Pelodiscus sinensis: one gene and its partners. The protein of the gene in region 1 purifies or fractionates together with the protein of each later gene. This does not show direct contact. Links are inferred from orthologs where the notes say so. Each region holds a gene or a part of one and is shown in the gene's direction. Other genes may lie near its edges.

Region 1 (10,448 bases):
GCAGTTTTTCACAGGAGCTCAACGCAGGCAGGTTATACATTGACTTGGAGACCAGCAGCACTATAGACAGCTCCGAGGGCAAGCTGAACTTAGACCGTGGTAAGGCCCAGGTCCAGTGACCGAAGACTGGCCACAAGCTTCCTACAAGAACCTTGAAGATGACTAAGCAGAGACCTTATGCGGCACCCCTTTACCACAGAGGGGCACTCACAAGCGGGTGGACCCTGTTACGGCACCCCCTCCACACGGGATGGTCACTCTGCAGAGGGGTGCATGGGGGTTAGGAGAGCAGGGAGGCTCATCTGCAGGCTGCAGCCTCAGGACAGCCAACAGGAGGTGGCAAGCAGCGCGAACATGGGCTGGAAGGGTTCAGAGGAGTGTGGGACAGCCCCACAGCTGGCCAGAGAAAAGCAGCGCTCTGAAGTGGGAAAGTGCTGCTTCCCTCTGGCCGTAGGCTGTGCAGCGACCCAGTGTTCCTCTGAAGCCTTCCAGCCCGTGATCATGCTGCTGGCTGCCTTCTGGTGAGTGGTGGCTGTCCACAGGTTGGGGAGAGTGGCTGGCCGTGGTTGCCCGCGGTGGGGATGGGTGTGGCCAGGGGATGGAGAGCCCACAAGCTGCACAGCTCGCAAGAAAAAGCAGCAAGTTGAAGCAGTAGAGCATTGCTTCTCTCTGGCAGCTGGCTGCATGGCTGTGCTGCCCCCTTCTCCTGAGTCCTCCCACCCCTGTAATGTTGCATTGCTGTTGGCTGCCATTTGGTGAGTGGCTGCTTCCCATGGGCATGGGGGAGAGCGGCTGGAGGATGGAGAGCCTGGGGTGGAGGACTGGTCAAGTGGCCAATGGACCCGGGTTCCCCCCCTCCACACACACCTTCAGGTGGATAAGTTTAATAAGGACCCTTCACCTGTGATGTTATAATTTATTTCATTGTTCATGTGCAGGTGGCATTGGAGATTGGAAGAACCTCTTTACTGAAGCTCAGAGCCAGAAAATGGATGCCAAATTTGAAGAGTGTTCAGCGGGAACTGAACTGGGAGCAAAGCTAAAATATGATAAATACTGCAAATACTAAATCTTAACTTCGTTCTGATGCTACATTATCACGTATTTCATTGCCTTTCACATTTGGGAATGCATAGATTCAAATGATTTAGACTTTCACAAATGAATTTGCAAAATAAAGAAATAATGAGAACTCAGTAAATAATGGGCCAAATTCTGCTATTAGGCCTATATAGACGTGACAGAAGCATTTAGCTGAATATGTAGAACATATGACTAGTATATCAAAGTTTCTGTGCCTATTTGAGATTTTTTTTTCTTAATCTGCCATTATTTCAAACTGAGCTCTGCTCTAGATCCAAACTTTCTGAATGCTCTGGGTGTTAAACACCTTGAACATTTTTTTGGATGATCAGCTTCAGTAGTTAATTTGGTCCTAAACACATCCTATGTTTTCTGTGGCCTTGTATGAAATTCCTTTAAGGTATGTCTACACAGCAGTGTTACTTTGGAATAACTGACGTTATTTTGAAATAACAAAGTGTGCATCTACACCGCAATCTGTTATTTTGAAATAATTTTGAGATGGAAGACTTCTTATTCTGAGTCCTGTAATCCTCATTTCACAAGGAGTAAGGGAAGTCAACAGAAAAGTGTTCTTCCTTTGACTTCCTGCTGTGTAGACAGAGCCAAAAGCCAAATTAAGCTATTTCGACTTCAGCTACGCAATTGACACAGCTGAAGTTGCGTATGTTAATTTGACTTTTGCCCTGCACTGTAGACATGCCCTTAGAGTTCATTGATTTGAGCTGATGGTCAGTATTCATCCTGGCAAAAGGTTAAGGCAGAGTGTCTTCGGGTTTTGTCTGGTGTTGTTTAATATGATTATTGCTGACAAAAAAGGGAGGTGAATGAGGTAGCAAAAGTTGCCAATTGAAGTAAGGTGTTGATGTTAGTCATGTTAGGAACATGAAGCGATCTCAACAAGCTAGAGAAAAAAACCTCTCCTTTCCCTGATGGTAGAATATAACTATGGAGTAATTTTTAAAAAGCTGTTGAAAGAAGGCCCTGGTCATACCTGACTGATGCTTCTGCAACTATAGAGACTGTTATGGAGTCACCTCATTCTGAAGAGGGCTCTGGGCACAATACTTTAGCTGGTAAGAGATGTAAATGGGAGAGGTCTGGGTATGAAAATAGTGTTGATATTCGATAAAAATAGTGAGTAGAAGTCCTATGTCAGAAGCACATCTAGTGGTGAAGGAAAAGGGGGAAAAACATTTCCAGCCATCTTTGAGGCTCTCTCTTATAGGAGTTCTAGGGATGCAGCAGCACCCACTGGCTGAATGTGGTTTACATCATATACAGGGTTTATGTTTTTTTTCATTGGTTTTCAGCACTCGCCCACGCTATACAAATTGTTAGAGAGTTACTGCTCTAATATCAAAGGGTCTCAGGAGTGTTACACAAATAAATTAGCAATAGCTTTAGGGGGCAGTCGAGTTAGTCTATAACTGGAAAAACATGCAATGTTTTGTCATCTCTGTGTGTTGGTACCAGTGATGTTTGCCTGTGTACTGCTACCCTCTGCTGGACAGAAACAGAACTACCATGTGTGACTACTGCTAAATCAAAAAACAAGACTATGTAGCACTTTAAAGACTAACAAGATCATTTATTAGGTGATGAGCTTTCGTGGGCCAGACCCACTTCCTCAGATCAAATAGTGGAAGAAAATTGTCACAATGGTTTATTAGGTGATGAGCTTTCGTGGGCCAGACCCACTTCCTCAGATCAAATAGTGGAAGAAAATTGTCACAATTGTGACAATTTTCTTCCACTATTTGATCTGAGGAAGTGGGTCTGGCCCACGAAAGCTCATCACCTAATAACCATCTTGTTAGTCTTTAAAGTGCTACATAGTTCGGTTTTTTGATTCAGCTACACCAGACTAACACGGCTACATTTCTATCACTGACTACTGCTAGTTTCTCAAATTCTAAAACTAAAATGTGTAGCAATGGACCAAACTTAGCATTCTGTCTCCTGGGAGTGGGGGCTGGGACTGCATGTCCTGGCTGGTGGCTTCTCCCATGGACTGGGGCTGCAGTCCCCAGCTGGTTGCAACCTTCAGCTTGTCTGGGGAGATGCTGGGGTTCCACAGGATGGTCCCAGCCTCCGGCTCCCCCCTACCTCCATGCTGTCTGGGGGGAAGGCTGGCCTCAGCTTCCAGCTGTCCCCCCTCACACACCCTCCAATGGGGGGGAGGACTAGGCTGCAGTCTCCTCAAAGGAGGGGACTGAGCCACTGTTTTCTGCTTCTCCTTGGGAGAGGATGTCTCTTCTGGGGGGTCATGTTAGGTTAAGTTTAAGAGTTATTTCGAAAGAAGGGTTTTCTTTAAAAATAACTGCGTCTAGACAGCGTTTCTTTTTTCAAAATAGGGTATTTTGAAATAGTGCCCGGACGCAATTATGCAAATGAAGCGTGGGAAATTCAAATCCACACTTCATTTGTAATTTCATTCATCTGCATTTGCATTCCTCTCTCGAAAGAGGAATGCAGTGTAGACATACCCTACTCAAGCCTAGGAGGGAGTGTGACTTGATGCCACCCTTTGCCTGGAGAAGCAGGACAAAGGCTGGAAGTGGGGCCAGCTGCAGGGCTGATAGAGGCTGTTGAGTGCAAAAGTTGGACTTGCTGGCTTGGGGTGCAGAGATGGGGGTGAGGGCCCTTGCTGGCTTGGGATGCAGAGATGGGATGAGGGACTCTGAGCACCCTGTCCCCAAGATGGATTGTACTGACTGCTTCTGGTTTCCGTGCTGACAAGTCTGTTCTATGCTGTATCTCTGTCAACTAATAAACCTTTCGTTCTGTGGGCTGGCTGAATCACATCTGACTGTGGATGAGGGGGAGCAGGGCCCCAATGACTTTCCTCTCCTCAGTGACATTTGCATACCAAATTTGGTGGCCCTAGCTCTTGTCATTTAGGAGTTCTTGAACAAATTGACTCACAGATGGACGGACTCACAAACAGACTCATAAAAGCTCTAACATATATAGATAGGCAGGTTTAATCTTAAGGGACCCTCTTCCTACACACATACTATGAATGGGAGATATAGGAGAGTGTTGCTCTTGGCTGCTGTGCCCATCCATTTTGAACACATCTTCTCGTCACCATTTTTACAGACGTTAGCGAACTTTCTCATCCTTCATTCCTTAATGTAAGTATGGCAACTCTAATATTTGATTAACTTCGCTGACATTTGTCAAACTAGGCTTACCCAGCATTTCCTGGGTCTTTCAGGGCAGAAGGCTGGCAGTGCGGGGAGTGTGGCAATTGGGGAAGTGCCCTGAGTATGTGGGGGGCTCAGGGCAGGAAGGCAGAGGTGAGGGGTGCAGGAGTCAGGGTGGGGGCTTGAGGAGGAGTTCAGGCAGAGGGTTTGGGATGCGTGAGGTGCCAGAGTGAGGGTGAGGCGGACAGAGGTGGGGATGCAGGAATCAGGGCATGGGGTTGGGAGAAGGGTGAGCTGAGGGGAGTAGGAGGGCTCAGGGCAGAAGAATGCAGGTGGCTGGCTTCTCCCCAGGGGGGCGGGCTGGGCTGGCAGGGACAGTACATCGTGCCGCCAACCTGTCCATGGGACAGGAGGGGGCTGCACACCCCGTCCTCCTGCTTCTCTGCAGACTAGCGGGGGGGAGGGGAGCGCACCCCATCCATCGACTTGTCCTGGGTGCGTGAGGGGGAGGCACCATCCTGCTTGCTGGTTTATTCCTGGGGGCTGGGAGAGGAGGCAGCAGGTTTTCGCCCTATCTCCTTCCCCAGCCTGGGTAGCCCGCAGGGGACTTTCCCCCTCTCCTCTGCTCCTTCTGGGGTGGGGGTGGAGGGAGAGCCGGCGGCGGGAGTGGGGGTGGGAGTGGGGCTTGCGGGCGCTCAGAAGAAAAAGGCTAAAGGAAGAAGGGCGGGCGCTGGGCCCGGAGAGAAGCGGAGTCAGAGCAGGGAGAAGCAGGCGGCTGAATTTGGGGGCTTGAGGGGGGGAACCGAGGAGCCCTGGGCCCGGCTGCTCCGTGAAAGGGGAAGGCGGGGCGAGGCTGGGCTCGGGCTGCCTAGGAGGGGCCGCCCCAGCCCGCCTCCCCTGCTGGCCCGCGGGGCTCCAGCCACCCGAGGAGCAGCCGGGCCCGCGGGCGGCGGCGCCTGCTTTTGGTTTCGATTCCGGCGCGGAGCCGGAGTGGGAGGAGCGAGGCGGCCCGGGGAAGCCGCCGCGAGGAAACGAAACAGACGGGGCTGAGCTGCCGCCACTTCCAGTCCCTTGCCGCAGTGAGCGCGGGCCGGCCGGGGTGCTGCGCGGCTGGTGAGTGGCCGGGCCGGCGGGAGGGCTCGAGGCGGTGCAAGCTCAGAGGGAGGCCCCGAGGGTGGGGTGGGGGCGAGTGACCCTCAGCCGGGCAGGCTCCTGCAAAGGGTCGAGGGGTGTGTGTGTCGATGACCTTGGTGTTGGCCCGCGCCGCTGTGCTGGTCCCTGCGGACCCAGACTGGAGAGGGAGGCTGGGGGCAGGGGTAGGAGGCGGGGATGAGGTAGGGTGCGCTAGTGCTGGGTCTTTTCCTCTTCTTCCCAGAGCCCCCTCTGGGCTCTAGGACGCAGAGTGTGAATTGGAACAGGCTGGAGCTTGACCCACACAGCCAGGGTTGGGGTGATCACGATCTGGGCTTCTGGTCCTGTTCTGTATTGTATATATGGATATGCTAAACCTGGCATTGCTATCTCTGGAAACTGAAAAAAGCCAAAGAGCGGACTTAGCATTATACTTGGCATCCCAGACTGCAGCTGTGTGACAACATGCCCAGGAAATAGGAGCAGTGCTGGGGACTACCCGGAAGTCACCTGTCAAGGGAAGGTGCTAGTGACTTCTGTTCCCCTTACAGGTGCAAAGTATAAGTCCCAGGACAGTGGCCAGCAGCCCTCTGAGTAGAAGTGAATGCAGTTATTGCTTTGGAAGTGACAAACTGCGGGGAAAGGAGAGGTATGCTTACAATTCATATCTCTGAAATACAGGCCAATAGGTACCCATTCACAACAATGGATTTGAAGTCCTGCAGTTTTGAAAAGTTTATAATATTGAAAAAGTCATTTCTACATCCAAGGGAGTACAGGGAGGGAGAAAACAATTTGGATATATAGTTACTAGAAGACTTCCCGGATGTTGCCTGAGTCTTTCAGGGCAGGGGGTTGGCAGTGTGGGCCTGGTAGGGGCTTTTGCCCTCTCGGGGGCGGAAGCCTGACGGGGTCTTTTGCCCTGTCCCCAACCCCTCCTGGGGCTCAAAGGGGGAGCTCAGCAGGGGCTTTTGCCCAGTTTCTCCCTGGGCACCAGGGAGAGCCTGGATGGGGGCTTTTGCCCTGCTCCCAATCTCTCTGGAGCTATCGAGGGGGGCTGGCTGCGGCAGTCTCCCACTTACCTGGAGCAGTGGCAGGCAAGATGATGAGCCCTGTCACCAGCTAGCCACTCATAGCAATGGTACAGCTGCTTGCAGTGATCATTCTACAATATGGCTCTCCCCTGTGCTCTATATCAGAGGAAGCAGTTTGGGGGAGCAGATGGAAGCTGGTGCTCATGGAGAGCCAGCTTTTCAGAGCCGCACCTCCCCTCCCCACAGGTAAACATGTAACCACTGAAAAATTTCAGCAGTTACATGTTTACAAAAGAATGTACTTTTTATCATTCCTACTACTGACACATTATTCAAAATTTGCTCACTCTATATTTTGATTACAAATATTTGCATTGTAAAATAAACAAAATAAACTGTATTTTTAGTTCACTTTATACAAGTACGGTAATGCGATCCCTACAGTCAAAACCAAAACAATGTAAAACTTAAAGTCTACAGGTCCACTCAGTCCTACTTATTGTTCATCCAATCACTAAGACTAACTTGTTTGTTTACATTTATGGGAGATAATGCTGCTCTCTTCTTATTTACAATGTCACCTGAAAGTGAGAAAAGGCATTCCTATGGCACTGTTGTAGCTGGTATTGCAAAATGCCATATATGCTAAACATTTGTATCCCCCTTCGTGCTTCTGACACAGTTCCTGAGGACATGCTTCCATGCTGACAATGGGTTTTGCTTGATAATGCTCCAAAGCACTGTGGACTGACACACGTTCATTTTTGTCATCAGAGTCAGAAGCTGTCAGCAGAAGATTGGTTTTATTTTTTGGTGATTTAGGTGCTGAAGTTTCAGAATAAAAATGTTGCTTTTTTAAAGACTTTAGACCACATGTTTCACACCTTGTCCCACTCAGATTTTGGAAGGCACTTCAGATTCTTAAACTTTGATTCGACTATTGTAGCCATCTTTTAATATCTCATATTGGTTCCTTCTTTGGCATGACATACAATTCTCCCCCCAAGGAGTTCAGTCACAAATTTAATGAATGCATTTTTTTTAAACAAGAGTCATCAGCAGGAATGGTGGTCAAAGAATGAAGAAGCATAAGAATGTTTTAGCAAGATCCACAAGACACCAGAGGAACAAGGGATGCACTCCACCCAGGTGCTTCACCAGAATGGACTCTGGTTCTGTAGCCTTGTGGTTCTGTATTCCCAGGACTACGTATTCTCTGCTGCTTTAAAAAATTCACATACCTCAAGCTGGGACAATGCTGGTTACGTATGCTATGTATCTCACGAACTGTGTAAACCTATTCTTATAACTTCCCATAATCTAAGCTTGACCCCAGATGTATAGTGCTTTCCTTCTTAATTAGTGTGATGTGAACTTTATTTGAAACAGTAGCTTTAATGAAATTTTTCTGTCTGGCATGTAAATAGCTTGCAACACTGGCTACTAAAGTATCAGAGAAATGTGTGTACTCACTTTCAAGTGACATTGTAAACCCTAAGTGGATAGCATTATTGCCAGTGAATGTAAACAGATTAGCTTGTTTTACCAATTAGCTCAGGAAGAGTGGGATTGAGAGAACCTACAAGTCCAAAAGTTTTACATTGTTTTGTTTGAGTGCACTTATACAATAAAACACACTGTACACTTTTTATTTGTTGTTTTCCTGGCTTTTTGTTTGCTACTTTACTTAAAAAAACCCCCTTATAATATATTTCCCCAAATTACTAGAATTATCTCAATTCAGATTCCTAAATCTGTTACTCCAGTGAAAACTAAAATCTTCAAGAAACATGTAAAAGTCAATTACTCTCCTTTCTTAGTGCAAAGTAACAATCTCTTTTAACATATTGATGTTTCAGTTTCATATTCTGTAGCTTCAGGAGCAGATTCAATTAACCACTAAGTTTCATATTATGCTAGTGCCTGATTAGGGTTAGTTTGTACTAGACACTTTAAATACATAAGAAGATATAGGCTCTGCCCTGAGAAGTGTTTTAAATAATAAATGACAAGCAACTAGGTTCTATAATTTTCAAGATGAATGATTTTTACCTACAACAAATATTTTACCTACAATAAATATTTCTGTCAAAACACATCTAATGATTCTCCGCATTTGTAAACATCTTCTGACTTTGCTCCAAAACCCTTAGACAATGTGGGCTGCCAGTCTTGTTTATGTTTTCATTCCCTAATGCACAAATACTCAAAATGCAAGATTTAGTCAAAATTTTTTTTGCCTTACAGGTTGTGCCAAAATGGCAGAATATAGTCCTAAGACACAGTTGTACAAGGGCAAACTTCATGAATATTGTCAGAAGCATAAGATTCAACTTGATTATAAGGATGTCAAAGTAGATGGTCCTCCTCATGATCGTGTGTAAGTTCATAGTATGTGCTGATAAATACAGCAACTTATTTTAATGAGAGAAATAAAGTGCAGTGTAACCACTGCTTCATCTTAAATGGAGATAGCAGCTCTGAAAATACACCAGGATAAGGCCTGTAGTGTTTGCAGTGCTCACCACAATAGTGTGCAGCTGAGTGGGGTTCATGGTTCTCTGGAGATTATGTATGTGCCTTTTGAAAAAAGGCCTGAAATATTTTAGTCTGCAGATTAAACCAGGGGAGAGAGAAAACTGCATCATAGATTGTTAAAGCCTATGTTTTAGTCCCATGGAGATTGCCAGTCCTTCCTAAAACTCCCTGTGGTGAGCTGTACTGTGGGATAGCTACCCACAGTACACTGCTCTCTGCCTTGATGTAAGCGCTTCTATTAGGATGAGCTCCACTGACAGAAGGAGTGTGGTGTGGACATGCACAACCAACTTAATTACTACAGTAGCTGGGTGTCAGTGTAAGTCGACCTAAGTTTGGCTTGCCCTTCGTAAAGGAATGATGGAGTTGCAGACCAGGGATGGATGTATTTTATTTATGTAACCAATGATACGTCTATACAGCAGGGCAAAAGTTGAATTAAGCTACACAAGTTGAGCTACGTCAATTGCGTAGCTTAAGTCAAAATAGCTTAATTTGGTTTTTGGCACTGTCTACATAGCAGGAAGTCAAAGGAAGAAAACTCTTCCTTCAACTTCCCTTACTTCTTGTAAAATGAGAGTTACAGGAGGTGGAGTAAGAAGTCCTGCAGTTTTCCATTATTTTGAAATAATGGCTTACAGTGTAGACGTGCTCTTTGTTATTTTCAGAAATAACACTGCTGTGTAGACATAGCCTAAAATAGGCCATCCTTCTCTCTTCCCTCGATCTGGAGCATTGAAGAGCATCCTGGTGTTACACTCCACCAGATCCATCGCTGTCTTAATGCACTCCTCAGTGCTTTTGTAAAAGCTTAGTGTTTAGAAAAGTTACAGTATGAACACATGATTGGGGAGGACACAAAGCTTCTAAAGAATGATGGAAACAGAATTTTGGAGACGATAATCACCTGGATACTCAAGTATTTTCATAACCTTTCCTAGTTCTCTAATGGTAAAACAATGGGGTCTTGATAAGGTCCATATGCATATGCCACAGTTCATCTGTTCAGTTACCAGTTTTCTTTATTACAGGTTCACTGTCATGGTTGTAATAAATGGTAAAGAATATCCTCCAGCTACAGGTAAAAACAAGAAAGATGCAAAAGAAAAGGCTGCAAAGGCAGCATGGAATATCATAACACAAGTAAGTAAACAACAGCTTTTGTTTAAAAGTAAACAATAAACTACAATGTTTTTGTTTGAATTAGAGCCGCAACAGCATTTGTGTGCACCCGCCAAGTGCTCAGGGCTGGCCTGGCCCCAGGCACGTGGCGCATTCATGGTGCCGGAGCCGGCCCCGGGCACATGGTGCACGGTGAGCGCCGGCCCCGGGAGCGCCGCGGATTGGCCGCCCGCGCTCTGGGCGCATGGCGCCTGGGGGGGGAGAGCGCCGGCTCCAGGCGCGTGGCGCTTGCAGGGGGTGCCAGTCCCGGACGCGCGGCACTTGGCGGGGGGAGCGCCGGCCCCTGGCACGCGGCGCTTGGAGGGGGCACCGGCCCCAGGCGTGGGGC
Region 2 (10,714 bases), on another chromosome or scaffold:
TGGCCTAAGTCCAGTGTTTCTGGGTGGCAAAGTAGACTGGAGACTAAGAGCACTGTCTGTGACTCCATGGTAAGAACATTACAGTAGTCGAAGAATTGTATGCCATGCTCACTGTTTTTTTCCCCATTTATCATTGCCTATTATAGATGACATAGACAAGAGCCATAAATGTGCAAACAAGATGTATATTTCAGCTACGTCAACAATAATTTGGTATTTTTTTTTACCCTTGAAATTTCCCATTGTTGATGCAGCCTGTGCAGTCACACAGTGGGAGCACTAGTTTAATCCGGCTTTTGAATCATAGAAATGTAGGTCTGGGAAGGACCTCAAGAAGTCATCAAGACCAACCTTCTGTTCTGTGGATGGTGTTTTTACTCATGTCATTCAGCCTTGCCGAGAATTGGTTTAGTAGTGAATAGAGTTATCAAAACACTGGCAAATAGACTAGTGGTAACTTCCTATTGGAAAAAGACAAATAGTCCAGTGTAGGGGAATAGCTGAAAAAATATGGAGGTGGTTGTTCTGGAAAAACTAACACACCAATTACATACCAGCAAAATAGAAGACAGATACTTAGCTATTTGGTTACCTTTTATTCAATACTCAAAGTACATTCACCTGCAAAAATAAAAACAACAAAACATGCCCACAAGAACCATGCAAACCTGTCCATTTTTAAAATATTAACATCTGATAGACATGACAAGTTTGTTAAATAGGTGTATTCAGAGAATTCAGTCAATAAAATCACTAGAAACAACATGTCATGGGTATCATAAAGATGCTCATTCTATAACATGGTTAACGTCCTGTTAAGTAGAATGATCCAATGATTATATTAGTTTCTCTTAACAAAATTTCCTTGTGGTGGTAATTATTGTGTTGTCTCTGATAATTATATGGTCAAGATTGTAAACCTATTAAAACTCTCAATGAAGATATAGGTTTCATTAAAAAAGTTACTTGCCACACTTGAAATGTCTGTTAACTCTTTCATCATTGCTACCATTGGTGGAGAAACAATAATTGGAGAATCCTTAGTATTGTATCAGACATAGCCTAGCCAAGACTATTTCCTATTTTTAGTACAGAACAGAGATTTCACTCTTACTCCACTCCAGTTCCATTCCTGGGGCTGCTGGTGTTGGCTGCCCAGCAGCTGCTTGGGTGGGTGGGTGGGATGGGGCAGGGGGACTTGGAGCCACCACCCTGTGCTGCCCAGGCGAATGCTCTATCCCCAAGTCCACTCTAGAACCCACCCCACCTCCTTATCTTCAGCAGGTCCCTTATCCTGCCTTCCTAATGTGGGAACCAGGTCCATCCCTGGGGCAGCCTGTGTTGGCTGTCCCACTGTACCAGGGCGGCTTGAGGGAGAGAGGGGACTTGAAGCCATCACTCTGGCACCACAAGCTGACAGTCACCTGGGTCAAGAGTTTCTTTTTCAGTCTGTTTTTGCAGAATGCAATAAATGGAAAGTTCTTATATTGTGCTTTGTTTCAAACATTTTAAAAATGTATGCCAACAGCAGAAAAATATAAAAGGGAGAAAATTTGGGCCCAACATTTTAGGATGATTGAAAAAGGAATTTACAAAACATGCATAAATGTTTTTATGAACTTTTAAACATACAATTGAAAAGTGTTTAAATATTCTTCAGAACTGATGATTCTAAACATAGCAGCTCTGTGCTGATGCTCAAAACCAGTAAAGGAAAACTGACTAGAAAACATGTATAAGGTAAGCTAACATTGCAAATTAGGGATGTAAGGGAGTAGTCATGTAGTCGAATAGACTACTCGCATCCCCCCACTTTCTGCCTGTGAATAAGTGGGGGGAAGCAGGAGCCAGTGCTGGGAGGAGCCAGCTTAAAAGCTGGTTCCCCCCAGCACCGTCTCTGCGGTGCTGCCCATCCCCTCCTCACTGCTGCCTCTATCAGAAGCAGATGGGGGGGGGAGCGGGAGGTCCCAACTTCCCACTGGGACCCTGCATGGACAGGGGCTGCTGCTGGCTGGGCAGGCATCCCAGCTCAGTCCTGGCTCATACCAGTGCTTGACCAAATCCTGCTGCAGCTCTGCAATTTAAAAGGCAGTAGGAGCTGGGGGTTAAAATACCCGCCTTTTAACACTCCTGTTGCAGATAGTGAAAATAAATAGTTTTAAATCAATTCACATATCTTAACTGATTATACAGACTCTGGCTACATTAGAAAGGTACATGTGCAGGGCATCCAGTTACTACAAGTTGGACCTTCCTGCGCTGGCACCCTCAGGACCTGAAAGAGAGTTTGCCAAACTAGGGGAGCCCCTCTGCTCACAGACTCCAGGCTCTCCATAGCCAGCCCCAGGGCTGCAGGGACACTGCTGCCCCAGGCATGCTGGGGTCACTTGGTCTCCACAGCCACTCCAGTGATGCTGGGCTGTTGGGCTCTGAAGCACGGGGCTGTCGGACTCCGCTGCCCGGAGAGGGGAGTCTTTGGTCCAGGAGTTCTCTGGTCCAGCAACATCGGTGGTCCAACCAAAGTGTCCCAGACCAGGGTGGTTCAACTTGTACAGTGTTAACTCATTACATAATGAAAGTAAAAGTCCCAGCTTGCAGCACAGGCACATGCATAACTATGTTTGAAGCATCTACAAATTGTGCTAATGCCTTAAACACAGCTTATTGTCCTGGTTAAAACACACAGGTCCCCCAACTAGTTTGCAAGATGGGATGCTGCTATAACTAATGGGTTTTACTGTATTGAACTCTGACATAACGGAGTGTGTTGTACAGTGTAGATTTTAAGATTGTTAATGAGTTAAGTCTCTGAGCTATGTTTCCGTAGCTGTGAAAACAACAAGAAGTCCCGTGGCACCTTAAAGAGTAATAGGTTCATTTGGGCACAAAATCATTTTGTCAGATACATGCAACCCATCAGGGTTCTGTGTGTGACTCATGAGCCATTTTCTTTACTGTAGTCCATGATTTTGCTAGTTTTCATTTTATTTTTTTAACTACTGTTACTAAAGTGACATGGACTTAAAGTAAGGGAACATAAAATGAGGTGCATGCTGATTGCACACAACATTGACTGTGAGAGCTGTACACACCCTCTGCATTCAAAGTGCTACTATGGTTCTGTGGTTTGTACATACTGCAAATTCTAGGAATACAAGTACAATTAGCAAAAATACCCTATCCTGAAATCATCTTGATCACAATCTTGTAGCCCACTGAGATGAAGGAGGGCCACTCATGCAGCCCACTCACTAGCCTAGGTTGCCTATTGCTGTTCAAAAGCTTTTTCTGTTTCACAAACCTTGATCCAATAAAAGATACTATCTCATCCACTTTGTCTCTGAAAAAAGTAGGAACCAACTGCCTCCAACGTAGACACAAGATTTCACAGAGTAGTCAGCAGGGGTCACTTCCTAATGACACATGCGGTGAGGACTCCTGTGAACCTTATAGACTAACCAAAGTGTTGGAGCATAAGCTTTCATGGGCAAAGACCCACTTCGTCAGATGCATGACACATGGTCATTTCAACAAAAAATTACCCCAGAAAATTATAGGCAAATGCCCAAACCCAGAAAAAGTAAATTAGCTTAAGAATGCAACTTGATTTTCTATCAACATTTGCATTTTAAACCCCAATTTGTCAGAAGAGATGTGGGTAATAACAAGGGTGCTGAGAGCCTTTGAGCCAAACTGTAAACCCTCTATGATGGAAACTACTTCACAACAGGGCATGCAGCAGCAGCCTTAGCACCAATAGTTTCAGTGATGGTGAGATATATATGGTTTATTCTCCCAAACAATGGAAAGTCAAAATATGATGCAGCTTGGTAGCTATGCTAAGTGTTTACACTATATAGTTTAAATCATTTACATTTCATTTTTTTTTGTGGTAAGTTTCATATAAATTATGAACGAGTCAGACTAGATCTAGTTATACAATGAGGTTTACCAGTTATTTTGAGAGAAGGGTTTTCTCTCAAAATAACTGCATCTTCACAGCATCTGTTATTTCAAAATAGCGCCATAACACGAATATGCAAATGAAGCATGGGATATTTAAATCCCAGCTTTATTTGCAATTTTGAATGTCTTCATTTGCATCCCCCTATCAAAAGAGGGTGCAAGTGTAGAAATACCCTGTGTGTATGTGTGTGCACCACAGTTTCTCTGGGCACTGCACTGGTACCCAGCTGGTAGGGGAGTTTTGGGTGTGACTCTTACTGAGGGAGAGTGATAGAAATGTAGCTGTGTTAGTCTGGTGTAACACTCTCCGCGGGGGCGGGGGGGAGCTGAACAAAGACCCCAACTACCTTACCCATTACAAAGATAGCTTCCCCAATTATCACCTCTAATATCATTAACTCACAGATATTTACCTTCCTTCCCCCCCCATTCCCCTTCTGTTCTGAAATGTGATTTGTCCTTTTCATATGTGTTCATTTTTTTAATTGTATCCTTTGGTATACAGGCAGTCCCCGGGTTACATACAAGATAGGGACTGTAGGTTTGTTCTTAAGTTGAATCTGTATGTAAGTCGGAACTGGCATCCAGATTCAGCTGCTGCTGAAACTGATCAGTTTCAACAGCGGCTGAATCTGGACGCCAGTTCTGACTTACACACAGATTCAACTTAAGAACCCCAGGCATCCCCAAGTCAGCTGCTGCTGAAACTGATCAGCGGCTGATTCCAGGAAGCCTGGGGCAGGGGCTTCCTGTAGTCAGCCACTGGTCAGTTTCAGCAGCTGCTGACTTGGGGACACCTGGGGCAGAGCAGCTGGGGTGCTGCCGGGTTGGTCCAGTAGCGCCCAGAGTGGCGCTACTGGACCAACCGGCAGTGCCCCAGCTGCTGTACCACAGGCGTCCGGAGCAAAGCCGTGGAGCACGGGGGCAGCGGGACAGCCCAGACGCGCCGTGGTCTGCAGACCAGGGAGACGGGGAGCAAAGCAGAGCAAAGCCGCGGAGCACGCGGGCAGTGGACAGTCCAGACGCGTCTGGGCTGTCCGTTGCCCGCGTGCTCCGCCACTTTGCTTCCTCTCCCTGGTCTGCTGGAGACCAGGGAGACGGGCCCCGTTCATAACTGCGGATCTGACGTAAGTTGGATCCGCGTAACTCGGGGACTGCCTGTATATGGTTGTGACTATTTTCTTCCACTATTTGATCGGAGGAAGTGGGTCTGGCCCACGAAAGCTCATCATCTAATAAACCATCTTGTTAGTCTTTAAAGTGCTACATAGTCCTGTATTTTGTTCTTACTGAGGGAGGCTGCCCATGCCAGCACCTACACAATGGCTTAGGCTGTCTTGTAACTTGAGCCTAGGTGGGAGATGCAATCAGGTGACATCAGGCAACACTTTTTGCCATGGGGAAGTTGAAGAAAGGAGGTGGTGGGGCTGTCTACAGGGCTGGGACCTGTTGCTGATTGTGTGAGTTAGTAGGCTGGCTTAGGATGCAGGGAGGGAGCCTGCTCCGGGGGGCCCCCTCTTCCCAAATTGGATTATACTGACTGCTCCTGATTCCCCTGGTAATTACAAATCGGTGCTATGCTGTGTCACTGTGAAGCAATAACCCTCTGTTCTACTTGCTGGCTGAGAGTCACATCTGGATGCGGAGGGGGGGGGGGGGGAGATGCAGGGCCCAGGGACTCGCCCACACTCCATAACACAGGTGTTTTCTTGAATTACTTACACCACTTTCCCCCCTAGCCTTGCGGCTGTTCCTGCCCCGAGTGCAAACAGGCTGCCTGAAAGCGCGCTTGCTTTAGCACAAGGTGGGGAGAGGCGGACCCAGCCCCGGGCCTATCTCGATGGGGACCCTCCATTAAATGCCGGGCGTTGCGAAATGGTGGCTGCGAACCCAACGCCTGCCCCCTCCCCGGGAGCCGCCCCGCGGCGAAGCCTGCTCTATCCCCAAGGCAGTGCCCGGGGACGCCGGGGCGCGCTCCGGCCTGTTGGGCCCGGGTGAGCCGGGCAGGACGGCGGGAGCGAGCGGCGGCAGAGCCTGCGGGGCGCGCTGCTCGGCGCTGGCGCTAGGGGGCGCTGGCTGCCACCCGCCAGCCCGGCGCCGCGCGGCGCAGGGGAAGGGAGGCGGACGGGGCCATTAGCGCTGCTGTGGCGGGGGGGAGCGGCGGGCTGGGCGCTGCGCCGGGAGCCTCCCCGCCGGACTCCGGGGGCTGCGGGCGAGTGGCAGCGGCCTCGGGGAGCCGGGAGGCGGGCGGCGAGCCGGGCGGCGCGCGCGGGGGGCGGCGGCTGGGCCGGCGGCGGGCGCGGGGGGGCGCAGTGGTTGGGGCCGGCGGCGGCCGCGGCGGGGTCAGTTCTCTTTAGTGTTTGCCGATGTTGGAGGCGTCTCCAAAGTGTCCCCGGGAACCAGGTAACCGCCCCCCCCCCCGCCCGGTGGCCCCGAGCTTGGAGGGGGGACGAGCAAGGGGCTTTGCCGGGCCCGCACCGCGGCACTCGGCGGCGGGGCGGGGGGAGCCGCGGATCCGGGCGTGGGGGGGGAGCTGTTGTCTTCCCCCCCTTTTGCCCCGGTAACGCGGCTCCCTTGGCGCGGGGCGGTCCTGGGCCCCCAGCGCTGAGCGCTGCGCCCCCGCCGCCCCTGCTCGCAAGGGCCCCCACATCTCTCTCGGGGTGCGATGCTGCCGCCGCCTCCCCCCCCCCGGTCGGGAGTTGCCCCGGCTAATGTCGCTCCTCTCCCAGCCGGTCTCTACGCTCAGACCGCGCTCAAGTGAAATGACTCGGATTTTAGCTGCCCTGCGCGGAATAAAAGCCCAGCTATTGCAGCTGTTGAGGTGATAAAATAGGAGACTGATTATTTACTGTGGAAGTACCACTCGAATTGCGGCTTGGCTGCATATTGTATCAGGCCTGTATTAAATTTGTGAAGTAGCTTTTTATGGCTAGAGCAAGCCTCTTTTTTTCAGTGTGGCTTTTTGAGCTTTTCATTGGCCATATTTTAATTCAGCATGTTTCAGATAACTTATAAAAGATCATTAGCTAATCATGACGGATTTTAAACATTCCATGTTTAACTATTACTGTAGAGCAATACAAAAAGCCTTACACTACATTGTATGCTGCATAGCTGCACAACAGATTAAAAGTAGTGTTACTGTACTCAGATTTCACCTACAATTGTAAACTTTCTTAACAAGCCTGAACTTTCTCCTGCCCCCACAATAGACTGACATTTTTCCTCCTATAAAATGTTCAACTTTGAAACCCTTAACTCTGAAATTTTGTGTTACGTGATTAGCTTTGAAGTCAATAGTACCAGAAGTTAGAAGGAGAATTCACAGCTTTTTTTAAAGTGCTGTTGGGCAGTATTCACCCCAAGTTACTCACACTTTTGCCTGTGTAACCCAGGCATTGGGGTCCCCTGTGGAAGAAAATGAACCATGATGACAGCAGTGCAAAGCCCTCACAAATTTGTTTTGCTGGGGGCTGCACTGGTTGGTGGGGGCTGGACAGTTACCATCACGAAGTTGAGAGGAGACCAGTCTAGAACAGCTGGGAATTGTTTTGTGCTGGCATCCTCTGCTGGTAGGGCTTCTATGAAGACCGTCTCAGGAAGACATTACCTGTTGTCTTCTGAGGGTGAATTTCCCTGCAATGTGGCCAGATTGGAAATGGAGATGTATGGTGCAGTTAGTGATGCTCTTCTTCCCAGCAAATTGTTTCTTTGGGTCATATGGATAGTTTTCTTTGCAATTTTTAGGATTAAAAATGCAGATCTTTATGCTGTCCATGGTGAATATACAGAAATAACTATACTATCAGAAGGCTTTGCTTTCATGAAGGAAATTGTCACAGGTATAACTACATACGTACATAAGAGAGTACAGATTAAAGACGAGTAAACTGAAGCAAAATGGATTTGTTGATTTATCTCAGGTGTACACAGATTAATCTGCCACAGTGTAAATCCTGCTCTGTACTGGTGCAGTGCATTAGAGTTGGCCTCTGTGCAATTGCAGTAATATACCAGTGAAAGTTTTCTTACTATAGAGAGCTGCTTTTTTTTTTTTTTTTTTTTTTTTCTGATTAGGGTTTTTGTGTGACTGTAGGGCTTACCAAAGGTGCCAGACATTCTGATGGATGAAGGCTTTTATTTGAAGAAAGCTGGCAGCAATGCAAGATTTCCAGTGCTGCCCACACGATGAATCTTAACTCTGCTTTGAAGGGATGTGCTACAGCAGATCTCAGTTCTCATGCTCATTTAGAGCCCTCTGGAGATATCCAACACTCGTGGATATTGGCCACTAGAAACTGTATTGATGCCACTGCTGCATTTAACATAAACCATTATTCAGCCAATGCTGCTAAACAATTTATGCTAGTTTCAGATTATCAATTTGTGAAAGGCTTTATAAATCTCTTTACTAAGCTGAATAACTGAGGCCACATCTAGACTTGCAGGAAGATCAATGCCTGCGGTGGTCGATCTTCCGGTGCTCGATTTAGCATGAGGAGTAAGGGAAGTCAATGGGAGGCTGTCTTCCATTGACCTTGCACTGAAGTTTGGCTGAAGGTACATTGACTCCACCTACATTATTTATGTACTTGGAATTGCATACCATAAGCCGACCTTCCCCCATAGCATAGATCTGGCTTCAGTCTCCCCAACAGTTGTTTCTATTAATAATAATAATAATAATAATAAACAACAACATGTTCTTGAGTAATCTTTTATTCCGAAATCTGAAAGTGGTTTACAAAGATGAATTGTTACCCCAGTTTTACCCCTGAAATACAGAGAAGCTAAATGATGTTCCCAAGTTAACACATTATATCAATGGCATAGCTCACATAAACTGTTCTTTGGAGCAGAGAACATAGGCTTGACTTTCCTCTCTTTCCAGTTTTATAAATGTGACTTGTTGACTTCTGTGGATTTCCTCCTGATTTACACGGTTCTAAATATGAGGCATGGATCACGTACTGTCTTTATTTATAAAGTGGGATAGTAAGTGAAAGGTTACAAAATGAATCAGTGGCTGAGCTAGATCTTTGAATTCTAAGGCTGCTTCCCTAACTATGCAGCACCTATCATACTTCCTCTAGATAGTTTGTTTCCCTGCCTGAACTATGGCATTGAAAAGAAGAAATCTATTCTATTTTGTCAAATAGAAGTGTACATTTACAATCCTCTCCTTTTCTGCCAAAAACCTTCTTTGTACAATACCTAGTGTAATTGTGAAGCAGACTTTGAGTTGTAGACCAAATGTTTTCTAACAGTTGTACGTGAATGAAGGGTAGGGTGGCCATTTACCAACTCTCCAGGATTGTCTTGGAATCTCCAGGAATGAAAGATTAATATTTAAAGATTGTTGTGTGATTAAATCTCCAGGAATACATCCAACCAAAATTGGCAACCCTACTGAAGGGCTGCATACTTTGTTGCTTATGTAGGCTGATCTGGCAGGTGGCAGTGAGAAGGACAGGAATGTGTAATAACCTGTAGCAGCTATACAGGGTGCTTCCATTAAGGCTTCATTTTACTGTTAAGTCATCTAATCTGCTTCTCTTATTCTCTTCATTGTCTGTTATTGATATGAAACTGATTAAACAAAGTGAATGCCCTGCTTGACCAATAACAGTTGTTTGCATTTTTATCTTCAGTGTAGTTTATAAGCTTTATTACTCATCCTTTTATGAGAGAGGTTCAGATTTAATGACTTGCTTAAAATCAGTATGAGATACTATCAGATCTAAAATCAGAACTCTGGAGTTACTGATTCACACTCCTGTGTTCAGACTACCTACCATTCCTCCTTTTTTGTTTTGTATTTTACTATATTATGCTTGCAAATCAAGTGGCTGATGGTTCTGCAAATAGAAATTCCAGAATCATTTGGGCTTTGATCAGAGATGGCAGCTGGTTGCATATTTTGGGCTTACCTTCATTAATTAATTATACCTTTTAAGATATACTGTTATAGTTGAATCAGTATATCCCCTTAAAGTAGATGGAATTATATTGGTATGCAGGTGCTTTGTGCCAGCTATACTAGTAATATGTCTCACTTATACCATAGTTTCCACAGGCAGGTGGGATCATTATGATCATCTAGTGTGACTTGTGTAACAGGCCAGAAAGCTTCCCCAAAATAATTCCTAGATTTTATCTTTTGGGAAAACATCCAGTCTAGATTATAAAAATTGGTAGTGATGGAGAATCCACCAAATTCTTTAAGTGCTAGTGGTTCATCAAACTCACACTAGGGGTGTAAAGGTGCACCTACACTGCATCCTTACCTCGAAATAAAGTGCTATTCTGACAAATCCTTTAACTGTCGTGGAATATGGGTTATAGGGATGCCGGAATAATGCACCCATTATTTCGAGATATATTTTGAAATAATGGGAACATTTAAAGATGTGGAATAGCTATTTCGGGATACTTCCGGTATCTCAGAATAGTGCCGCTGTTTAGACGTAGCCTAAGAAAGATGTTGACTATCCGATAAACTTATTGGGTAGTCGAGTCAATTGCTCGCATTCTATTCTTCCCTCTTGCTGCCTCTACATCAGAGCTGGTGGGGGGGGGGGGAGAGGAGGAAGGCTGCTCCAGAAGCAGTTCTTGTCCATGGTGGTCCCAACTCCCCACTGGGACTTCTGTGGACAGCCCCTTTCTGCGGCAAGGCACTGTGGTCAAGGGCTGCTTTGCAGGCAGGAGTTCCTGTCTGCAGGGGGCTGCTACTGGCTGAACAGGCAGC
Region 3 (10,927 bases), on another chromosome or scaffold:
CCGGGGCAGGGGCTTCTTGTAGTCAGCCACTGGTCATTTTCAGCAGCTGCTGACTAGGGGACACCTGGGGCAGAGCAGCTGGGGTGCTGCTGGGTTGGTCCAGTGGCACCCAGAGCGGCAGCGCCCCAGCTGCTGTACCACAGGCGTCCGGAGCAAAGCCGCGGAGCACGGGGGCAGCGGGACAGCCCAGACGCGCCGTGGCTATCCTGCTGCCCTCTGGCTCCGTGGCTTTGCTCTGCTTTGCTCCCCGTCCCCCTGGTCTGCAGACCAGGGGGACGGGGAGCAAAGCGGCGGAACACGCAGGCAACGGGACAGCCCAGACGCGCCGTGGCTGTCCTGCTGCCCTCGGGCTCCGCGGCTTTGCTCTGCTCTGCTCCCCGTCCCCCAGGTCTGCAGACCAGGGGGAAGGGGAGCAGAGTAGAGCAGAGCGGCGGAACGCGCGGCCAGCTGACAGCCCAGACGCGTCTGGGCTGTCAGCTGGCCGCGTGCTCCGCTCTGCTCCCCCTCCTCCTGGTCTGCAGATCAGGGGGAGGGGGAGCAGAGCGGAGCAGAGCAGAGCGGCAGAACGCGCGGCCAGCTGACAGCCCAGACACTTCTGGGCTGTCAGCTGGCTGCGCGTTCCGCCGCTCTGCTCTGCTCCGCTCTGCTCCCCCTCCCCCTGGTCTGCAGGGGGGGGGGGAGCAGAGCGGAGCGCGCGGTCAGCTGACAGCCCAGATGCGTCTGGGCTGTCAGCTGGCCGCGCGTTCCGCCGCCGCTTTGCTTCCTCTCCCTGGTCTGCTAGAGACCAGGGAGAGGAAGTGCCAAGTTCGTAACTGCGGATCCGACGTAAGTCGGATCCGCGTAACTCGGGGACTGCCTGTATAAGAAAGGTGCCATTTTCACATAGTCACTATGTAAAATAGACACACATTTTAGGCCTGTTCTTATACCACTGGAATCAATAGCGTAGTAATAATAGTATTATCTGAATGGGAACACCCACAAATATGCTGTTATGAAATCTTTTTTATTCTAATTTCAAAAATGCTCTAAAAATGAACCAGTGGGCCTGGGTAATAGATTATTTCTAAAATTATGTTTTGTTGTCCTTATGTTTCTCTTTCCCCATCAGATGTTGTTAGTTCAAATTGAGGACAGTGTATTTTAAAGTAAAATAGCTTAATTTATTAACTTGAGTTGGGCAAAAACAAACAAACCCTGAAATGTCAAACAAATGCAGGCCTCTTCAATGTGTCTTACATCTGTTAATTTATTTTTTCCAGTTATATGTCAAGCTTAAGAAAAACAGTACAGAGAGGTGGGGATCACAAGAACCCCATACTAAAATACTGTATTTAATCTCAATGGGACTTTCAGTGTCTAAAATGTGAATAACTAGAAATCAGTAGCACTTGTCATCCTGCAAATTTCCAAAGTTTTTACAAACTTGAACTAATATTTAGAGGGAATACTTCCCCCAATCTCTGAATGTAACATTAGTGATAGAAATGTAGCTGTTTTACAGAGTACAACTTTATTCAGCAATTTAAGACAGCACATAATAGATACTATAGCCAAGCAGAATGCAATCATTCAGACTGGAATTTGGTCAACCTTCAGCTGTATTCTTCATCTAATATATAGTTAATATCAGAAAAGTTAGTGGAGGCTTGGACATTTCGGAGAGGAATATAAATTCTAACTTCCTGTCTCTCCATCCTCTTGCTTTCCTAGGAATCAGATCTTTTCACTTTGACAGAGATGTTCTCGCTGAATTCATGTAGAAAAGGTAAGGACTGGTTGATTTGGGGAATGCGCTCATCTCTCACCATTAATTTTTCTTGACTGATCAGCTATAGCACTAGATCTCTGGACAAAGATATCCAGTTCATAAATAATTTTACCATTCTTTTCTATGCTGAATGATATGACAGGTGTGCCATACTGCCTTGCAGTGTGAGTTATTTCTCATTCATTTTAGTGTTTGTGCCACCAATACATGCTTACATGTGCTACAAAGAAAAAGGAAGGATGTTTGAGAAAATTAGTAGCCACATTGGAAGTTATGTATTACATAGGAAAACAGAATTAGGTCCTATGTCACTCCTTTTAACTGCAAGGGGAGCTTCACATCCAAGGGTAAAATTTGTGTCTGCTTGTAAAAGTAAATGTTTCCAAACCATAATAGTTTGGTATCTAGTACTTATGCAGCAGTGTAAATCATTTTTTAGCTGGGACAGCTGTCTGAACAAGTATTAATGTCACAAGTACCTGTACTTATATTAAGTAACACAGTGAGAGATACATTTCAGGGAAATACAGAAACTGGAGATGGAAAAGAATTTTTATGTTCTCCAGTCCATCCCCCCTGACAATGCAGGGTTGTTCCCTACAGTGTGTTACTTAATTTTTCATCCAGTTTAGTTCTAATTAGTTTGCATTTTTCCTTTTAAATTTCATCCTTTGTACTTTCTGCGGTGTTAACATAATTCAAATATGTCAGCTGTTATGTCCCCTTTTGTCATTGTTCAGCCATACTGTTGATTTAGCTCTTTCTAGTCTATCATAAGTCAGTCCCTCTAGTCACTGGTCATTTTTTGTTGCTTATTTTGAATATCCTTCAGTTACTCAATCTTAAAATGAGCTACTCAGAACTCAATCCATTATTCCCGGTAAGGTTGTATCAGACATGTACAACATAGTGAGGGTCTATTACCTCCCTGCTCTGGGAAGAAATGCCTCGGATTCATTGTTTTGGTGGCATAACGTTTCATTAGCCATTCTTGTTTCAATGTCAAGCTTAAAAAAAAAAAGCGCATCAGTAGTCATGAATTCTATAATTAAAACAAATTAATGATATTTGACATTTGTATTTCAGTGGGAAACTCTTGAGATGCCAAGTAAAAATCTAGGCTGAATGGGAGGCTGAAGGAGAGCATCACCTCATGAGGGCTAGTGGTTTGTCATGGCTGGACTGGGGTAGGGACTTCATGGATTCTGTGACACTACTAGTCTTTGGGGAAAGTCTTGAAGCTGGCAGAGCTGGATAAGAAGTTTCTGTACAAAGCTGCCAACCCCTTTGCAAAAGCTCATGTAGGAGAGAAGAAGGAGCAGCAGCAGCTCGCTGCTTTGAGTCTGAACTGACAAGCAGCAGGATAGTGGTGTTAAACTACTAGTTAAATGCTGTTAAACGCTTTTCATTGCAAAATAAAGGACATTTTGGTTGAAATATTGTATCCTGTGACTGCTGGCATTTTTTCCATAAATCGATTCTTGCCTTTTTTCTGTGACCAGAATTATTGTCTAATTTACCGTGACAAACCACTAGCCCTGTTATTTATATCTAATTTTCTGAACACTCTCTCCCTTTTATTTTCTGCATCACTGTTTCTCCTCCCATTGAATGTGTTTCCTATAGTCCTCCCCCAGATGTACAACTACATTTTTTCATTATTGTATTCTCCACCGACGGTTCTCATTTCTTTAGGGCTCTATTATTTCTGCATCCACGAGTGTGGATCACTCAAAACAACTTAGTATCATCTGTAATTTTCCTTAAATGTGGTGGCTCTCAATGCGAGGTTCAAGGCCCGCTGGGAGTAGGTTTGAGGGGAGTGCTCAAACAGGACCAGCTTTAGATTCGCTGAGGCTCAGGGCAGAAGGTAGAAGCCTTGCCACATGGGCTGCGTCTAGATTGGCATGATTTTCTGGAAATGCTTTTAACGGAAAAGTTTTCCGTTAAAAGCATTTTCGGAACAGAACGTCTAGATTGGCACGGACGCTTTTCCGCAAAAGCACTTTTTGCGGAAAAGCATCCCTACCAATCTAGACGCGCTTTTCCGCAAAAAAGCCCCGATCGCCATTTTCGCGATAGGGGCTTTTTTGCAGAAAACAAATCTGAGCTGTCTACACTGGCCCTTTTGCGCAAAAGGGACTTTTGCCCGAACGGGAGCAGAATAGTATTTCCGCAAGAAGCACTGATTTCTTACAGTAGGAAGTCAGTGCTTTTGCGGAAATTCAAGCGGCCAGTGTAGACAGCTGGCAAGTTTTTCCAGAAAAGCGGCTGATTTTCCGGAAAAACTGGCCAGTCTAGACAGCCTTGGGGTTGTAGCCTGGGCCATTGGCTCTGCCACCCAGGGCTGAAGCCTGAGCAATGTACCTTTGTGGGGCCCCAGGCAATTGTCCTAATGCCAGTCCTGGCTTTTATAGGTGCTGGTGGGCTGTGCGGTTTTTGTAGCATGTTGGGGAGGGCTCTGAAAGAAAAAGGTTGAGAACCCCTGCTTTAATGGATATCCTACTCCTTCAAGATCACAATGAAGATTTTCAATAAATAAACTGGATACCTCAGCATTTAACATTAATCCCCTTTCTACATACACATGCTTTTTATTTTCCCCAGAAGTTTTACTTCTGCTGAATTATACTAGTTAAACTGATTTGAAATAATTTTTCAAGATAGAGTTCATGGGGTTTAGTATAACATCTACCAGATTTTTTAATTGGTGAATTTGTCTGGCTATATTTGGTGTGTAGGAATTGATGCTATGTACTGCTTATGGTTATCATACTCTAGTTGTACTTTTCTCAGTATTTGTTGAATTCTTTTACTGGGGATAGAAGTTAGACTTTTAGGAAAACAAACAGCCAGGATGGCTTTAGTATTTGTGTTTGAAAGTCTGTTCTGCATTTTTTTTAGTGCCTCTCTTGTTGCCTGATTTTTTCAGAAATATTTATTATTGGTAGAATGTTAGTTAATTGGCTTAATATCCTAAGATGCACATCTGCTGAGTCAAGTAATTTAGTGTGTGCTCAAAACTTCCAAATACACTTGTTCTTTTGTTAAGTTTTTTTTATATGTGGTTTTCCTTGCTAACGTAACCATTCAGATATCTTTTAGCTCCCTGCGAAGATATACTTGTTGAAAGTCTTACTTCCCTTAATGATTTTTTACATATTAGCTAATGTATAATCTTGGTTTGCAAGCAAAGTATTTACTGATTAATGAATGACAATTTAACATATAAACAATTCACTACTGTAAATAGGCACTTGCAATTTAATTGTAGCCCAAAGTGTTAGATTTCATGTATATTCAAATATTTTGATAATTTACAAATTCTGATGGGGGGAAGGATTAAAACATCCCTGCAGCGACAGGGTACTTGACATCCACATGTTACAGTATTAAGAAACTTATGCTGAAAATATTTAATTGTTAAAATTGAGCAAACATTTTTTTCAAAGTGAGAAAAATACAGACTGTGACCAACCTAAATAATAACTTTTTAATTTTCAAATGTTAGTATTGAAGGTGTTAGTAAAATAATGAAGTTTGATTACAACTGCAGAAGTGAAGTATGGTCGATATATAATTTAAAAAAAATTACTTTCAGATACTAAACCTGCTTGGGAACTTTCCTGCTGATTGGTATAGTTCTTGGAGTCAGATATTTCTGCTTGCTTGCTTTTGGCTAGTCGTTTTTAAAATTTGGCCTCACTGGTGATAATATACACAGAGTGGCATGAAATACCAAGAAAATTGCAAATGCATTTTTTGTCTTCTAGTTTCAAAGTTATCAGAAGTGATTTTTTTTTTAAAGTTGGCAGTGTCCCTTTAACATGTATTTTAAAAGAGAGTAGCCGGAAGTTGAAATTTTTGGGTACCATATGCAGCACCACTAACTTTTTCTCTTTATGAACAAGTTTCTCATAAACCTCGGTGTGGGTCGGTTTCCTCATTTGTAAAAAGTGCGTGATGCTGACCTACCTAAGGGGTTGTTTTGAGGCTCACGTAGTATTCAGAATATATCCTCTTACATGTTGAAATAGCTTACTCTCTCTTGTGTTGCTTCTGACTGATCTGCATGCGATCCAGAGATAAAACAAAGAGTTGGTTTCCTATCCAGGGTCACTCAAGGGGAGCGGATGCTAAATGAGATTCCTACAATGTCTGATGTGGATATGAAATAAAAATGGGGAGGAGGATTGTTCTATTTCATTACTGGCCTACCTGGCAGTTCTCTCTTAAGCCTCAGAACAGGTGTGGGCAGGGTCAGTGCAGGCTTGTTCCTCAGCTGCGGGGTGGGCAGGGATCTCTTGCTTTCTCAGCCTGTTCCTCCACCTTTTTAATGCAGCGGGGGAGGGGCGGGCGATGCCCCCGGCCAGCAGGGCCTGGCGCGCGCATGGGTCCCGCAGGGGCGCGGGCAGGTGCGGCGCTGTTGCTCCTCCGGGCCTGCAGTGCGCCGCCCCGCGCGCTAGGGGCCGCTGCGCGCGGCCGGGTTCCCTCCGCCCGCCTCGTTGCCCCTGCCCGGCCTGAAGCCGGCGGTGGGCGGCCTCGGCAAGATGGCGGCGCCCAGGCGGCTCCTGCTGGCGCTGGTGAGCGGCGCTTCCGGGCCGCGGCGCTGCCGCCGCTACCGCCGGGCGGAGCCGGCAGCGGGCGGCGCCACGCGGGGCCTGTGCGCGGGCGGGCCGCTGAGCGAGGCCGCGGCCGGGGCGGAAGAGGAGCCGGACGTCGGCGCCATGGTGAAGGGTGAGCTCGGGAGGCGCTGGGGCCGAGCCCTGTGGCGGGGGGGGCGCCCCTCTCTCCAGCCGGGGGGCAGCGCGCGCGAGCCCCGGCGGGCCGGGCCCAGCCCTCGCGGTCTCCGCAGCGGGGCCCGGGGAGCGACCTGCGGGGCCAGCGGGCGATTAGGCCTCGTCCCTCGCCGGCCGCTCGCTTTGGCGGGGACGGGGCTTTGTGCGGCCCCAGCGCCTCTCCCGACACGTGCGCGAAGCTGCCGGTGCGGGGAGGCGAGCCCGCGTGGGGCCCAGGGGGCGGCGGGTCCCGAAGCGGCTCTGGAGGGAACACGAGCCGCTTCCTGGACGTGAATCTCTCCGTGTTCTGGACGCGCCTCGGCCCCCGATTGGCAAACAGGGTGAATGGGATGCTCGGGGCAGCGGTGAAGGGCTCCGCGTCCTTTCACCTCAAGGTCACGCGTTTGAAACGGGTCGTGAGTGAAAGCCTTTGTGTCTCCCGGCCTTCTGGTTTAGCCTGTGTGGAATGAAAATATCCTAATAAATAGCCCTTTCCCTGGCACCTCGGCACAGGGGGATCAGCTGAACAGGCTGCGGAGAGGAAACATCACCTCCTCGCTCTCCTAGCAGTATAGAGAACTGGCATGGTGTACCTCGATGTTCCTGCCACTGCTCATACTGGTTTTGTTCTGAGGACTGATGGGTTGTCCAAACCAAACGAAACGTGGAAGTGAGCTAGATGTTAAGAAATCTTATTGCCCGTGAATTCCCATGCGCAGGGCTTGACAAACTATAGAATCTACTCGCCCATGGTGAGTAGATGTCAGCCGCACACCCCATTTACCGGAGGCTCTTGTGCATGCACAGTGCGGGACTGGCGAGTGGCTTTTGCCGCCGTTTGTCAAGCCCTGCCCATGTGTTACAGTTTTCATAAATTACATGTGGGAAGCTGCATATCTTCCTTCAGTGTATAGTATAAGAGCATAAGAACGGCCAGACTGGGTCAGCCCAAAGGTCCAACTAGCCCAGTGTCTTGTCTGCCTACAGTGGCCAATACCAGATGCCCGAGAGGGAGGGATCACAGCAGGGAATCCTCACGTGATCCCTCCCCTGTCACCCACCTCTAGAAAAACAGGCTAAGGACACCATTCCTATCCATCCTGGTTAATAGCCATTGATGGACGTAACCTCCATGAATCTGTCTAGCTCTTTTTTGAACCCTGTTAAAGTTCTAGCCATTACCGCATCCTCTGGCAAGGAGTTCCACAGGTTGACTGTGCGCTGAGTGAAGAGAAACTTCCTTTTGTTTGTTTTAAACCTGCTGCCCATTAATTTCATTTGGTGATCCCTAGTTCGTTCTTATATTGTGAGAATAAGTAAATAACTTTTCCTTATTCACTTTTTTCACACCATTTTATAGGCCTCTAACGTATCCCCCCTTAGTCTCCTCTTTTCTGAGCTGAAAAGTCCAAGTCTTTTTAATCTCTCTTCATACGGGACCCGTTCCAAACCCCTCATCATTTTTGTTGCCTTTTCTTGAACCTTTTCCAATGCCAGACACTCACTTCAATTTATTTTCTTCTTAATATCCTTATCCCATTCAGGGTTGACTTATGCACTTAAAATCTCACACTTTGTAAAAAGTTTTTACAACTTTCAAGTATCAAAACCTCACAATCTTATAAAAAGGTTTTGTATCTTTCAAGGAGGTTTGTAAATATGATTGTAAACCATGGCACAGACATAACATTAAGCTGATATAATGTGCACGGATGCTTGGTGTGGTATAATGCCAAAGGCTGAGAGCCTTCCTCTACCCAAAAAGTGTACTGGAAGGGTTATTGCTGTCATATGACTGCTTTACATGTACATTCCATTTTAAAAAAAGACAGTGTGCCTTTTAGATTTATATCTGTGGGTTTCTACTTTGCAAATTCTTACAAAAGGGACAAGAAAAACCAGCAGGGAAAATGTTTTATAAATACCTCTTACTGCAAATAATTTTAAAAATCTTCTTTGTCTCTAATTGGCCACTTAATTTTCTTTTCCTTTTAAGAGAACAACCAGCTTTCCTTTTGGTCGACTGTGGCATATACAGGCAGTCCCCGACTTATGCGGATCCGACTTATGTCGGATCCGCACTTACGAACAGGGCTTTTCTCGCCCCGGAGCTCACGGGCGGCGGGTCGCCACCTGTGTCCTCCCGGGTGAGAAAAGCTTCTCCCAGTCTCCCTGGTCTGCTGGGGGGGTCCAGCGGCTTTGCTGGGCCCCCCCAGCAGACCAGGGGGACAGGAGCAAAGCCGCGGAGCACGCCCGCAGCGGGACAGCCCGGGCATGCTTGAGCTGTCCCCCTGCGGGCATGCTCCGTGGCTTTGCTCCCCGTCTTCCGACCAGGGAGATGGGGAGCAAAACCTCGGAGCACGCCCGCAGTGGGACAGCCGCGGCGCGCTTGGGCTGTCCCGCTGCTGGCGTGCTCCAAGGCTTTGCTCTCCGTCTCCCTGGTCTGACCAGCAGACCAGGGAGATGGGGAGCAAAGCCTCGGAGCACACCAGCAGTGGGACAGCTGCGGCGTGCCTGGACTGTCCCGCTGCCCGCGTGCTCTGCTGCTTTGCTCCGCGTCTCCCAGGTCAGCAGACCAGGGCGACGGAGCAAAGCCGTGGAGGACTTGGGCGGTCCCGCCACCCTGGTCTGCTGGGGGGGGGGTGCAGCTAGTGCCCCCCCCAGCAACCAGGCTTTTCTTGCCTACCCCTGGGGTAGAGCAGCTTGGGGCTGCCGGGTTGGTCCCGCAGCGCCGCTCCAGACCAACCAGGCAGCACCCCAGCTGCTCTGCCCCAGGCATCCTGATTCAGCCGCTGCTGGTCAGTTTCAGCAGCGGCTGATTCAGGATGCCTGGGGCAGAGCAGCTGGGTTGCTGCTGGGTTGGTCCAGTAGCGCCGAGGAGCCGCGCTACTCGAGCAACCCAGCAGGACCCCAGCTGCTCTGCCCCAGGCGTCCCCAAGTCAGTCGCTGCTGAAACTGACCAGCGGCTGACTACAGGAAGCCCGAGGCAGAGTTGCTCTGCCCCAGGCTTCCTGGAATCAGCCGCTGATCAGTTTCAGCAGCAGCTGACTTGGGGACGCCTGGGGTTCTTAAGTTGAATCTGTATGTAAGTCAGAACTGGCATCCAGATTCAGCAGCGGTTGAAACTGATCAGTTTCAGCAGCGGCTGACGCCAGTTCCGACTTACATACAGATTCAACTTAAGAACAAACCTACAGTCCCATCTTGTACGTAACCCGGGGACTGCCTGTACATTGGCCTGTTGAACAGCTACCTATTTAACCAGTTTTCTAGTGTAAATGTTAGAACTGAATCAGCCCGCCCCACAAAACTGAAAAGGCAGTTTGACACACTGGGAGAGGAGGTATTTTAAACTGTTTTTCTCTCCTTTAGGATCATATTTCCTGTAGACAACTACTGACTTTTTTGTAATCTATCCCTAGATGCCCTGTCCTTGTGCTGATTTCCTCTCCCCCTCCCCCAATCCTCATAATAGGTATAGTGGGGGTTTTTGTTTGTTTCATTGAGATCTTGGCTGTACACTTTTGGGAGCTGGCATACTCTGTGACATCAAAAAGCCCAACCAGCCAATCAGAATGCTGCTTTGGGACAATGGGTGTAACAGGCAGACTTGACAGTGATAAGTGATTCACATAAAGCTGGGGGCAGATTGTTGGAGTCTTTTCTTCCGCATTGCTTTGTATTGCGTTCTCCAGTGGTAGACTGAGCATAGGAGGCTGTTCCAGGATGCTCACTGAAGGAATAAAAGATCTGCCTCCTTCAACAAGTAAGTTGTTGTTAAGGTCTCCCTAAAGGCCTGAGTTCTAGCTCTGTGACTATTATTTTGGCCCTAGGGAGCATGAAAATCACTTTGAGATTTTTCTTATGGAGACAGGTTCCAAGCCTTCCACTGTCAGGTTGGTGTCTTCAAGCTCAGTTCAGCCAGGTACTTTGGCACTGACCTCTGGTGAAACCGCAACATATATTGAAAACGCATCTCTGATCTGAGGTGTTTTTCTGGGTCTGTTACTGAAATCTGTATGAACATTGTTTCACAGCAATAAGAAATCTTTTCCTTCCTCTCTTCAGCTATACACATTTTCCTCACTAGTTGTCATTTCAGGTGATCTACCCTAGTTTTAAGGGTTACTGCTGCCATTCTTAGATTGTAAGAGCTTTATGGCAGGGACTGCATGGTCTTTCATTTGTACTTTTTCTACCCTGCTAGGTGATTGTAAATGTGTATAATGGAGTCCAACCTGAGAAATCTGATTTGAGTCTTCTAACAGGAAAAGTCCTCCCGTAATCCTTAACATCAGTGTGTGTTATAGGGTTACAAGATTTTAGTCCTTGCGCTTGTCTGGTACTTTGTGGGCATTCTCCCATCAATTTTTCTTAA

Evidence for each region. The genes of interacting proteins can lie anywhere in the genome.
Region 2: the proteins of EIF2AK2 (region 1) and STAU2 purify together in Homo sapiens (affinity purification with mass spectrometry; 3 studies listed by BioGRID and IntAct, with this or other methods). This does not show direct contact. The link is inferred for Pelodiscus sinensis from reciprocal best matches to the Homo sapiens genes EIF2AK2 and STAU2.
Region 3: the proteins of EIF2AK2 (region 1) and DHX30 purify together in Homo sapiens (affinity purification with mass spectrometry; 3 studies listed by BioGRID and IntAct, with this or other methods). This does not show direct contact. The link is inferred for Pelodiscus sinensis from reciprocal best matches to the Homo sapiens genes EIF2AK2 and DHX30.

What each region holds. Positions count from the first base shown.
Region 1 is NC_134713.1:137,311,710-137,322,157, reverse strand, and holds the start of EIF2AK2 (interferon-induced, double-stranded RNA-activated protein kinase), read left to right. Parts: upstream 1-5,116; 5' UTR 5,117-5,348; intron 5,349-5,917; exon of another isoform or gene 5,918-6,015; intron 6,016-8,647; 5' UTR 8,648-8,658; coding exon 8,659-8,780; intron 8,781-9,969; coding exon 9,970-10,081; intron 10,082-10,448. Other genes in the region: sulfotransferase 6B1-like, read left to right, coding at 939-1,069.
Region 2 is NC_134712.1:53,729,933-53,740,646, forward strand, and holds the start of STAU2 (double-stranded RNA-binding protein Staufen homolog 2), read left to right. Parts: upstream 1-6,084; 5' UTR 6,085-6,178; intron 6,179-6,220; exon of another isoform or gene 6,221-6,369; intron 6,370-10,714. UniProt on the Homo sapiens protein: RNA-binding protein required for the microtubule-dependent transport of neuronal RNA from the cell body to the dendrite.
Region 3 is NC_134712.1:256,902,301-256,913,227, forward strand, and holds the start of DHX30 (ATP-dependent RNA helicase DHX30), read left to right. Parts: upstream 1-6,297; 5' UTR 6,298-6,321; coding exon 6,322-6,508; intron 6,509-10,101; exon of another isoform or gene 10,102-10,275; coding exon of another isoform or gene 10,276-10,315; intron 10,316-10,927.